Arabidopsis thaliana: one gene and its partner. The protein of the gene in region 1 interacts with the protein of each later gene in a biochemical or structural test. Each region holds a gene or a part of one and is shown on either strand. Other genes may lie near its edges. The genes, in order: LRR XI-23 and PIP1A.

Evidence for each region.
Region 2: the proteins of LRR XI-23 (region 1) and PIP1A interact in a test that uses a peptide from one of them, tested with the Arabidopsis thaliana proteins (one study listed by BioGRID).

The regions. Positions count from the first base shown.
Region 1 is NC_003070.9:3,250,278-3,256,342, reverse strand, and holds LRR XI-23 (Leucine-rich receptor-like protein kinase family protein), read right to left. Parts: upstream 4,027-6,065; 5' UTR 3,936-4,026; coding exon 1,379-3,935; intron 1,292-1,378; coding exon 915-1,291; 3' UTR 689-914; downstream 1-688.
Region 2 is NC_003074.8:22,731,320-22,736,166, forward strand, and holds PIP1A (plasma membrane intrinsic protein 1A), read left to right. Parts: upstream 1-1,923; 5' UTR 1,924-2,337; coding exon 2,338-2,665; intron 2,666-2,929; coding exon 2,930-3,225; intron 3,226-3,463; coding exon 3,464-3,604; intron 3,605-3,698; coding exon 3,699-3,794; 3' UTR 3,795-4,075; downstream 4,076-4,847. Other genes in the region: AT3G61420 (BSD domain (BTF2-like transcription factors, Synapse-associated proteins and DOS2-like proteins)), read right to left, coding at 50-111, 199-277, 376-441; CYSC1 (cysteine synthase C1), read left to right, coding at 4,566-4,730. UniProt on the Arabidopsis thaliana protein: Water channel required to facilitate the transport of water across cell membrane. Its function is impaired by Hg(2+).

The DNA of each region.
Region 1 (6,065 bases):
TCTGCTAATGACGTTTGCTCTATCAAATAAAAAAACAAAAATGTAAAATATGTATTCCTATGCTTAGGAAGATATTAAGAATTGCCGACTTCTTTCAGAAAAAAAATACAAGTTTATTGTTCGAACCAATGCAGAGAAGCAGTATTGTCTGCTTGTGAAGAATGAAGAATTATACAATTTTCGCTTAAGCATTATTGTCTTCTTTCTGATAGTATCTTTTTTTTTTTTGGCTAAATCAGTAAATATCAGTAGATGAAAGTTTAAACATAAATGCATTCTCAACAAAGGAAGCTTTGAATCTCTTATTAGTGGAGCCAAAAGGCCATGAGGTGTCTAAATTTCTTCATCTTTCTTTTATTAAGTTGGTCAAAGTGGGCAACTACAAAAGTTTTTGAGCATACGTAGATTTGACTAACTTTTAGAAATCACAGGAGAGGATATCATAATAATAATTGGTCTATGTCATCACACCAAGAATCCAATTTGAATTTGGTTTCGTTTTGAGAATTTTCTGAATCAAATAATATAATAAAATCATCCTCACGCAGAAATAAATATAACTCTGATTAAAAACTGATTGATTGCAAGTTTTATAGACATTGTTTTACCCAGTCGAATATACACTTCTTAGCAAAGTAATAGTATAGGTGCATATAAGGACCATAAATTTCATTTAGTAGTTGACCTTCATGAACATTTGAAAACCTTAAAATTCTACAATTACAAGAAAATAGTTTACAATGAGATCGTTACAACACCTATGATTTCATAACCCGGAGTACTAGTATTACAACACTCTCCATCTAAACTCTTACGTACGTCTTAATAGATTTAGATGATCCACTTTACTCGATCTCCCTAAGTTTCATTGTGAACAAAACAGACCCCAAAAGAGTGACTTGGTCCCTCAATCATCAACTTATTTCTTTGACCTTGACATCACTCTCTTTGCTGATCACAATCCCCATCAATCTGCAAGGTTCCGCGTCCTCGATCATCTGCACCACGCTCCTCATCGTCGGTCTTAGTCCAGGAAGTCTTGCGGTGCAGATGATCGCAATCCTCAGCATCTTGACCGCGTCTTCTCTATACATTTCTCCTATCTTCTTGTCCACAATCTCCATCACACTCTCTTTGCTCTTCAGATTGTTGCTCACCCAATTCACTATGTCTTTGCTCTCTCCAAACTCTGCCTCTATCGGTTTTTTCCCTGTGACTAGCTCCATCAACACGACCCCGAAGCTATATACATCGCATTTCTCAGTCACTTTTGACGCATATCCATACTCTGCAACAATATTTTTTACTGTCAAATTGTAATTTCAAAATGTAAGGCCATAACAAGCTGATGATATAAGAGTTAAGTCTCTTTATATACCTGGAGCTATGTAGCCATAGGTTCCCGCAACGACATGCGTGGACTCTGGACCGCCATTGCTGGCCTGAAGAATCTTGGCAAGACCAAAATCCGCAATTCTAGGTTTCAAGAACTCATCTAGCAATATGTTACTGGACTTAACATCACGGTGAATCACCGGTCTCTCATACCCATGATGCAAGTACTCAAGCCCTTTTGCTGCACCAAGAGCTATATCATACCGTGTTTCCCAACCAAGATTCGACTTCTTGCAAGAGTGAAGCATGTCCCATAAGCTTCCATTAGGCAAGTACTCGTACACCAGCAAGCTCGAGTCATCGCTCGTGATGCTACAATAGAGTTTCACCACGTTTAAGTGTCGTATCGAACTAAGCGTTTGCACCTCTGTTTCAAACTCTTTCGATCTTCCCTCCCGTTCAGTGAGAATCGGCATTGCACTGCTGAAGTTTTTCTGAGTACTACTACACCGGATGTGTTTGACCGCAACTTCTTTACCATCACCAAGTACTACTCTGTACACATCCCCACAACCTCCTCTACCAATCAAATTCTCTTCTTTGATTGAATCAATGATATCATCTTCAGTGAAACTCATCTTTCGGAATGACTTTATACTCCAAGATTCGTGTTTAAGCGAACGTCCCTCCTTCTTCTCTGTTTTCTTCAGGTACAAGAAAAACACAAGAGACGCTAGCAAGATCAGTAACCCGAAAACTATACACAACACGAACACGCGAGTGTCTCCATGCGATCTCGAAGGATTTATGCACCGGTTAAACGATTTGATCGTCGTGCTACAGAGGCCAGGATTGCCATTGAAGCTACCATTATATGATGACAAACTCAGAGGGATACGACCTGATAATCTGTTGTTAGACAGATCAAGAAGGCTAAGCCTTAAAGACGACAAACTCTCTGGGATTCTCCCAGACAACTTATTGTCCGAAAGATTCAAAGCGTTGAGCGTCGGGAGTGATCCAAGCGTGTGGGGGATTTCTCCGGATATCGAGTTTTGAGCCATGTTGACATCGCTGAGCATCGAGCACGAACCAATCGAGTCAGGTATCTCACCGGAGAAGCCATTGCTCTGCATCTTTAGACTGCTAAGTCCTTTGAGTTTCCCAATGGAGCTAGGAATCTTCCCGGTAAACCGGTTATTGTTAAGCTCAACCTTAGTCAAAGATTCAGTGTCACCTATCTCTTCAGGCAGCTCATCAGACAACTTGTTGAACCCTAGATACAACGCTCCGAGCATTTTACCGTTCTTTATATCCGCGGTGATTGGACCTTCGAAGTTATTCATCTCTATATCGATGATCTCGAGCTTCGGTAATCCCCAAAGTCCCGCGGGAACAGTTCCGTTGAGGTTGTTCTCGCTAACTCTGAACCGTTGCAGAGTCAAACAGTTAGCGTAGGACTCAGGGATAGAGCCAGTGAGGTTGTTTTGCAGGAGAAGCAGAGCTTTCATCTTCCCGTTCTTGCACATATCTGGAGGGATCGGTCCGGTTAAGAGATTCTCTGATGCGTCGATGAAATCAAAATCAGCAAGTGAACCGAGTCCTTGAGGCAGAGAACCGGTTAACTTGTTTGTATACAGAGAGAGATTCACGAGATCCTTGAATTCACCAAACTCCAGCGGAATCTCACCGGAGAATTCGTTTTCGAACATTTGTAGTGAAACGAGATTAGTCAGAGACCTAAGCTCCGATAAATCGCCTTGTAGAAGATTTGTTGAAGCGTCCAAGTAAGTCAGATTCTTCAAGTTTCCGAATCCGGTAGGAAGTTTTCCGGTCAAGGAGTTGTTGTAAAGCTCTAACTGCCAGAGATTAGTAAGTTTCGAAATCTCCGACGGAATCTCTCCGGTTAATCCGCTATCGGAAATCTCCAAATTCCGAAGCTCCGTCAAATCTCCAATCGCCGGTGGAATTTTTCCGGCGATACTGCAATTCGACAAGTAAAGCCACGAGAGTTTCTTCAGAGAAACAACCTCCACCGGGAAATCAGCCGTCGCATCAAACGGATTATCGCCTAGGCTCAAAACGACGAGACTCGTTGCGTTTCGGAGCGATTTCCACGGAAAGACGCCGGAAAAAGCGCTGTTGTTGAGATACAGAAACTGTAACTGATTTAAAGATGAGAACTCAGGGAAAGCACCGGAGAATAAATTGTTGCCGAGATCCAAATACTTCAAACTCGTGCAGTTTTTCAAATCGCTGGGGATTATTCCAGATAGTGAATTGAATCCGAGAGAGAGTTTCTCGAGACTCTGAATCTCACAAACCGAATCGAATGGAAAATTCCCAGATAAACCTCGACGAGAGAGATCAATCTCTGTAACGTTGCCTCTAGAATTACAGGTTACTCCGATGAAGCTACAAGGACCGATACCGGAGTTCAGTTTCCAGGAATCGAACACGGCGAGATTGGAATCGGCGAATGATGATTTGAGCTTGAGTAAGACTTGGAGATCGTCGGAAGAAACGACGGAGAATAGAGAGAAGACGAGGAAGGTGGAGAAGCGGTGAAAGAAGTTGAAATTCCTTAACGACGGAGCCATGTCGGAGAGAAGAAGTGGTGACGGTGGTTTGAGTTGATCGGAAACTTGTTTTTTCACATCGGGAAATTTGGTTAGAGGAGAAGAGAGAGAGAGAGAGAGAGAGAGAGAGAGAGAGAGAGAGAGAGAGGCGGGCGCGAGAAAAAAGCTTAAGCTTTGCCGCTTTGAAGCAAAGTTCTTCTTATCTGGTGGTATCCATTAAATATTCAAATTTTGGCTTACCTTTGTAATCACTATCACTCACTCTTTTTGTTTTCTCTCGTTTTATATTTCTTTATTTATCACATAAACAAAATAATAATTTGCGTCATTGTTTTTTTATATGGTGCTTACGAAAATTAAATTATCTCCAAATAAATAAAGTATATCTTAGTTGAATAATATTGGTTTTATTAAGAGGGACCCTTGATAACTATACTATTTAGTTTTCTGATTATACAGTAAATGTATGTGGAATATTATATGAGCGTTTTGATATATTACTTTATAATTATTATTATTATGGCTTTTTTGGTTTTCATTGACTATCCTCAGAAATTTTTTATTGAAATTGAATAGAATTTTTCAAAAATTTAAAAAAAAATCCACATACAAAACTGAAACGATATCCTACTATTGAGTAGAGTATTGACTAATTAAGTACATTCTTTTGTTAATAGATTATTTTAGACTAGACGTAACGCCGAAATTGTACCTTTGTCATTGAGGAAACTTAAACAAAACTTAACTAAAATCATTATACCCCCAAGAAAAAAAAACTTAACCAAAAACAAAGAAACCAATCCAAAAAAAATATTAAACTACATTATTAATTTATAGTTGTCTTATATGCAACTACACTACATGGTAGGCTTAGGTAGATGTGGTTTTTATATGCAGCGCTATTTTTGGGGCTATATAATATTTTGTACACGTCCGTCGTAAGTATTAATATACATTTTAATCTGCAGTATACCGCAGGACAATTTATTTTTTTAAGTTAATATATATAAAAATTTATATATTATATCTATCTATAAAATATTTTTATTTTATAGTTTACAATTGTTATTAAGTAACGTCCTGCCAAACTCGTCCCGCAAAAAAAAAAACCATTTATTTTGTTAATGTTGATCTTATTTATGATATGTTTATGAATCATTCTCTAAATATTTTAGTCAAAATGGGACGTTGAACTCACATATTTTTCGCCAATTGGTTAATATATGTTCATTTTTTAAATTTTGAATCACAAAATATGACGGAAAAAAATTTGAGATTTTTAAAAACTCTATATATTATATAATGATGTTAAGATTTTTTGATATATTAAACTTTTTATAAGTTTAAATATTAGTAATGTTAAAAAAATTTAAAATATAAATAATAATATTTAAAAAACTAATAGTTTTTGCCTTTTAGGTAATGACATAATAAATCTAAAAGCAAGGATTTAGAAGATTTAAATCTTTAATTAAATATTTTCATTCCTAAATAATTAATGCCAGTAGCATGAAATTGTAAATAAGTTCAAATACAGGATTTATTTATTTAAACAAAAAACGTTTAGTAAGAATAATATTTATTTAAACAAAAACTTTGTTTTAAATATTGTTAACAAATACGTTTATGCTAATTTTAAAGGATTGATGGGAAGTTTGTTTGGATTAAATTTGATTGATAATGTGATTGACAATTTAAATTAAGAATTTAAAGTAAAATGAATTATTTTGGAAAAAAGATTTAATGCTAATGACATTGAGTTGTAAATAAGTTCAACTCTACGATTTATTTGCTAAAATGTCTGCAAAAATATGTAGATGATTGTGTATTATACTTACGTTTCAATTTAATTGAGCTGTTGATGAGGCATCACTATAAACATGTGTTGAACACTTGCTTTTTATGGCACAAGAGTTGCAACTTGCGACAATATACTTTTTTCCAAAGTTAATTAGGAAGTAGTTATATGTCTTAGCTCTTATCTTAAAACAAAACAAATGGCTATTTTTTTAAAAGGAAATTTTCATTCTAAATCTTTAGTTTGATTACCAAATTAACCAACCTTATATTGTGTGTGTACACATTAGGTAATGCAATAATATATCGACTATAGGACTAATAATTAAATTCTGCCGCTCCATAATTGCCATG
Region 2 (4,847 bases), on another chromosome or scaffold:
CCTATCAATATTTTTTAGCCTTGAGCAAAAAGGGCCGAGGAAAAACAACCTGCTTGCTGGTCAGATTGAGCCAAGGAGGTTTATTTGATCCTTCTTTGGTATATTTCTGACCTGAGAAATTTAACATGGCACAATAATCATTTAGAGAAATTATTCATGATAAATCTGAATGAACAATATGGATAATCAAACACTTACTTTTGATGTTGTGAGTCTGAACTTTAAGCTTCAAATCTGATTTAGGATCATTTGGGACAAAGAGCAGCATCACTTCACTCTGAGAACAAAAATTGGAAGATCCTTTGAGAAAAAAACCATTGAGTAAGGAAACAAAAATAGAAATCATATAGTGGCAAAGAGTTAAAGTATTCTTACTAATTCGAGGGATCCAAGAGTTCCTGGATCCTTCACAAAGCTCTTGTATTTGACTCGCTTCTCCATTGATATATGCCCAAGGTTCTAAAGCATGGTAAAATTGGTGGATTAAGTTTGTGAGCCGGAGGAGGTAAGGAGTGTCGACGGCGGAGGAAATATTTGAATCTGGCGGAGGAGAACGGCTAGCGTCGGCAGATCAGACAAAAATAGCTAAATAATTTGGGAATTTTGTTAATTTTAAGTTCGAGAGATAATGAGGTGGTTAGAACCACGTGTACGAGCCGTGATAGCTCATGTCTTGAGATGGTTCAACAGTTCACACCCGAAGTTGATGAGTCTCAAGAGCCACGTGTACGAGCCTTGTTTAACCGGGCCTGCGATCAATAGTAGTGTTGTTAGCTTAAGCCCGTATATGTATGGCCCATTTATTGTCTCGAGCTAAAAGTCGCAACTTTTTTTTATTGTTTTTTTTTAGTTTATTATAGGCAGACGATAACATTTGTCTTATTAATTTCATGTTAGGAGGACATTGGTAATTTTCGCTTGTTTTTTTGTGTTTGGTCAATGAATATTTTTTTTTTTTATGGAGCCGTGACGCAAATGGGGGTGGCTAGGTGGGGCAAATGCAATCATGAATAGCAGCCACAATAAAATTAATAAATTGATCGAGTACATATGTCATAAGATAAATGGTCGGTTTTGGATATGTAAGGCGCCGGCATTAGGTGGTATGACTCCACGTATCTTATCGTCGATGCATTGGACGGCTATTAAATAATCAGTCTCCAACATAAAAATTCCAAAATCACACTTCACACATTCTTTTATCATGTCATGAGGCTTAATGGGTCGGTCTTTTTTTTTAGTGGCTAGTGATTTTAGCTGATGTTTCAACATTTTGGTTTTAAGTGTTTCTATTTTGCAGCTTAAATATACATATAAAAATAATAATTTAAAGATTGAAGGTCCTCAAATCGTGTAAATGTGGATTTTTAGTTTGAGAAAGTATCTCACATGAGCCTTTTTTATCATTAATTACTTAATTACAGTGTCAAAATGATTGATAAGGAGTTGGAAAATACTAGGTGGTAATCAAGATGGCCCTTGGATGCTACAAGAGCGTAGGGCCATAGGGCCCATTCCAGAACAATATAGCAACCACTAAGCATGTTTTTGTTTTCTTTAACATTGTCTTTTCTATTTGGCAATTAGTACACTACTTACGTTTTGTGGTAGGAACAAATAATTTGTAATCTTGGCACAAACCAGTGCTTTGTAACTTTGATGATAGAAAAAATTTATTCACTAGTTCGATAACGATTATCAATCATCATAAATAAAAAAAGTTAGTTTAGACGATCATGAAGAGAGAAAAAACAGAATTATTGGTACTATCTCTTAATTTCCCAACTCTGTAGGTACACTCATTAATCATTATGGAGAATGTCATAGTCATGGTACATAATGAATGTGCATGGTGCTTATGGTACAGATGTTCTTAACTTCTTATCCTGGCTGGCAAACGCCAGATCATCTCAACTGGAGGATCATGTTTTGTTCGTAACAGTTAGTAACTAACCAAATTAGTGACAATCATGAGGGATTATTAAAAACAGACATTGATCTATTTTTGATTAGAAAACATTACTGATAAAACTACAAAAATAGCTGGAATGGAGCATTCAAAACTCTGTCCAAAGTCCAAACGGTTAAATTATCACTGACCCAATCCAATAATTAGATTTATTTAGTAAGTATGATTACTACGAAGATAACATTAACAAAATTTTATGTTATTGTCAATTTGTCATCATCGTCTTTATTTTTTATTTCTCAACTTTCTTTGCATTACATCTTCCAACTATATAATTAACCACTCTACTTTCTCAAATCCCACACTCAGAGAAGAAGAAGAAGAAAAAAAACAGAGCTTTACAATTTCTCTCTACAGAGATCGAAGATATGGAAGGCAAGGAAGAAGACGTTAGAGTTGGAGCTAACAAGTTCCCGGAGAGACAACCAATCGGAACATCAGCTCAGAGTGACAAGGACTACAAGGAACCACCACCAGCTCCGTTTTTCGAACCTGGTGAGCTTTCTTCATGGTCTTTTTGGAGAGCTGGGATCGCTGAGTTCATCGCTACTTTTCTCTTTCTCTACATCACTGTCTTGACTGTTATGGGAGTGAAAAGGTCACCGAACATGTGTGCTTCCGTCGGAATCCAAGGAATCGCTTGGGCTTTCGGTGGTATGATATTTGCCTTAGTCTACTGTACCGCTGGTATCTCCGGTAAGTCACTCTACTTCTCCAAGTATACGCCTTTTTACTGTAATTAGGTTTCCGAGTGTTTGGGTTGTGAAAGAAGACGATAAAGCTATAATCTTGAGAAAATTGTGTTTAGATTTATAGCTTCTTAGCCTGAACTTGTTCCATTTGTATCTGATTCAAGAAATCTCAGAAAGCTACAATCTTGGTGGAATTTGCAGTTTTCTAATATGAATTGTGTCCTTTAGCCTAATCTTGGAATGTATTTTTTTTATATGTAACTCTCAGGTGGACACATCAACCCAGCGGTTACTTTTGGTCTGTTCTTAGCCCGGAAGCTGTCGCTTACTAGAGCTCTGTACTACATAGTGATGCAGTGCTTGGGAGCTATCTGTGGTGCTGGAGTGGTTAAAGGGTTCCAGCCTAAGCAATACCAGGCTCTAGGAGGAGGAGCTAACACTGTGGCTCATGGTTACACCAAGGGAAGTGGTCTTGGAGCTGAGATCATTGGCACATTCGTTCTTGTATACACAGTCTTCTCAGCAACTGACGCCAAGAGAAATGCTCGTGACTCTCATGTCCCTGTAAGTTACCACTCCTTGTAACATATCTGCTAATAGCTTCTTGAAACAATTGAAATGAGTGAACTTTTAAGCTGCCTTTAGTGTGACTCTCATGTCCCCGTAAGTAACCAGTCCATGTAACAATTGCTAGAAACAATTGAAATGAGTGAACTTGAAGCTGCCATTAGTGTGCACTAAAGACTGATTCTCAATATTGGATTTGTTGCTTACCGGCTTGAGTTTTGTAATAATTGTGCAGATTCTTGCACCACTCCCAATCGGGTTTGCGGTTTTCTTGGTTCACTTGGCAACCATCCCAATCACTGGCACAGGCATCAACCCAGCTAGAAGCCTTGGAGCTGCAATCATCTACAACAAAGACCATTCCTGGGATGACCACGTGAGTTTCCACACACTATATACCAAATCGCATTCCAAACTCGGTTTCGAGCATTTTTCCCTGACAATTTCGTTTTTTTTTGTCGTCATTCCAGTGGGTGTTTTGGGTTGGCCCCTTCATTGGAGCTGCACTTGCTGCTCTTTACCATGTGGTTGTCATCAGAGCCATCCCCTTCAAGTCCAGAAGCTAAGTAAAAACAAGACATCAAGTCCTCTGGTTTCTGGCCTTGTCCTTAGTTGCTTCTATAGTTCTATTGTTGATCTACTACATGTATGTGTGCAATGTGTTTATCTATGTGCCCTCTTAATGCAATATTTGTAAACAAGGAAGAAGTTCCAAAGGAGAATTATTTGCAAATTATGATGTTTAACATGTTTATTACAGATCAAAGATGTTTAACATGGATATTGGTAAACGAGAACCTATATAAACCCAAATTAAGATGGTCTATCACCGCTTAACCGGTTAGGTATTGTAATGGTATTTTAAACGTGTCAGTGTCACCAACCTCGCCTAAATCCTAATGGAATTGAGACACAGCCACCAAAAACCATCAGAAAAATGGTTCCATTTGTCAAATACTTTTCAACAAAGCACGAAGATTCCTTGACCGATAGAAAAAAGTAAACTGTATAAGAAAAGAAGTTAAAAATTTACTAGAAACAGGTGTAAGAAGTTGACTGTAAGTTTGATCATTCCACGAGTACGAATAAAACTCTGACAAGAACACTTCACTTACCACAAATCCACAATTACTTTTCTCACATAGTTCCAACAAGCAACTTGTATTATTATATTCTTAACACCAATGGTAATGGATGATGATGCAATGTATTTGTCTCGTTTTCTCATCCATTTATATGATTGCTTTCTTCTCCACCTCACCAATCACTCCTCCTCTAAACTTTTCTTCACTCTCTTGTCTCTTCAAACTTCGGTTACTCCGTTTTAGTCGACAACAATGGCCTCTGTTTCAAGGAGGTTACTGAGGAGAGAGACGATCCCCTGTTTCAGCCACACCGTGAGGAAACTCTTCTCCACCGTTGGATCTCCTTCTTTTGCTCAGAGACTCAGAGATCTCCCCAAAGACTTCCCCTCTACCAACGCCAAACGTGACGCCTCTCTGGTAAAAGAACGAACAAAAAAGAAACCGTTTTTTTTATTGAGTATCTACAAAATTGCGATCTGGGTTGTAGCAAATTTCTCGTCTTTCTTCTGATGTCGATTAACAAATTCGTCTGTG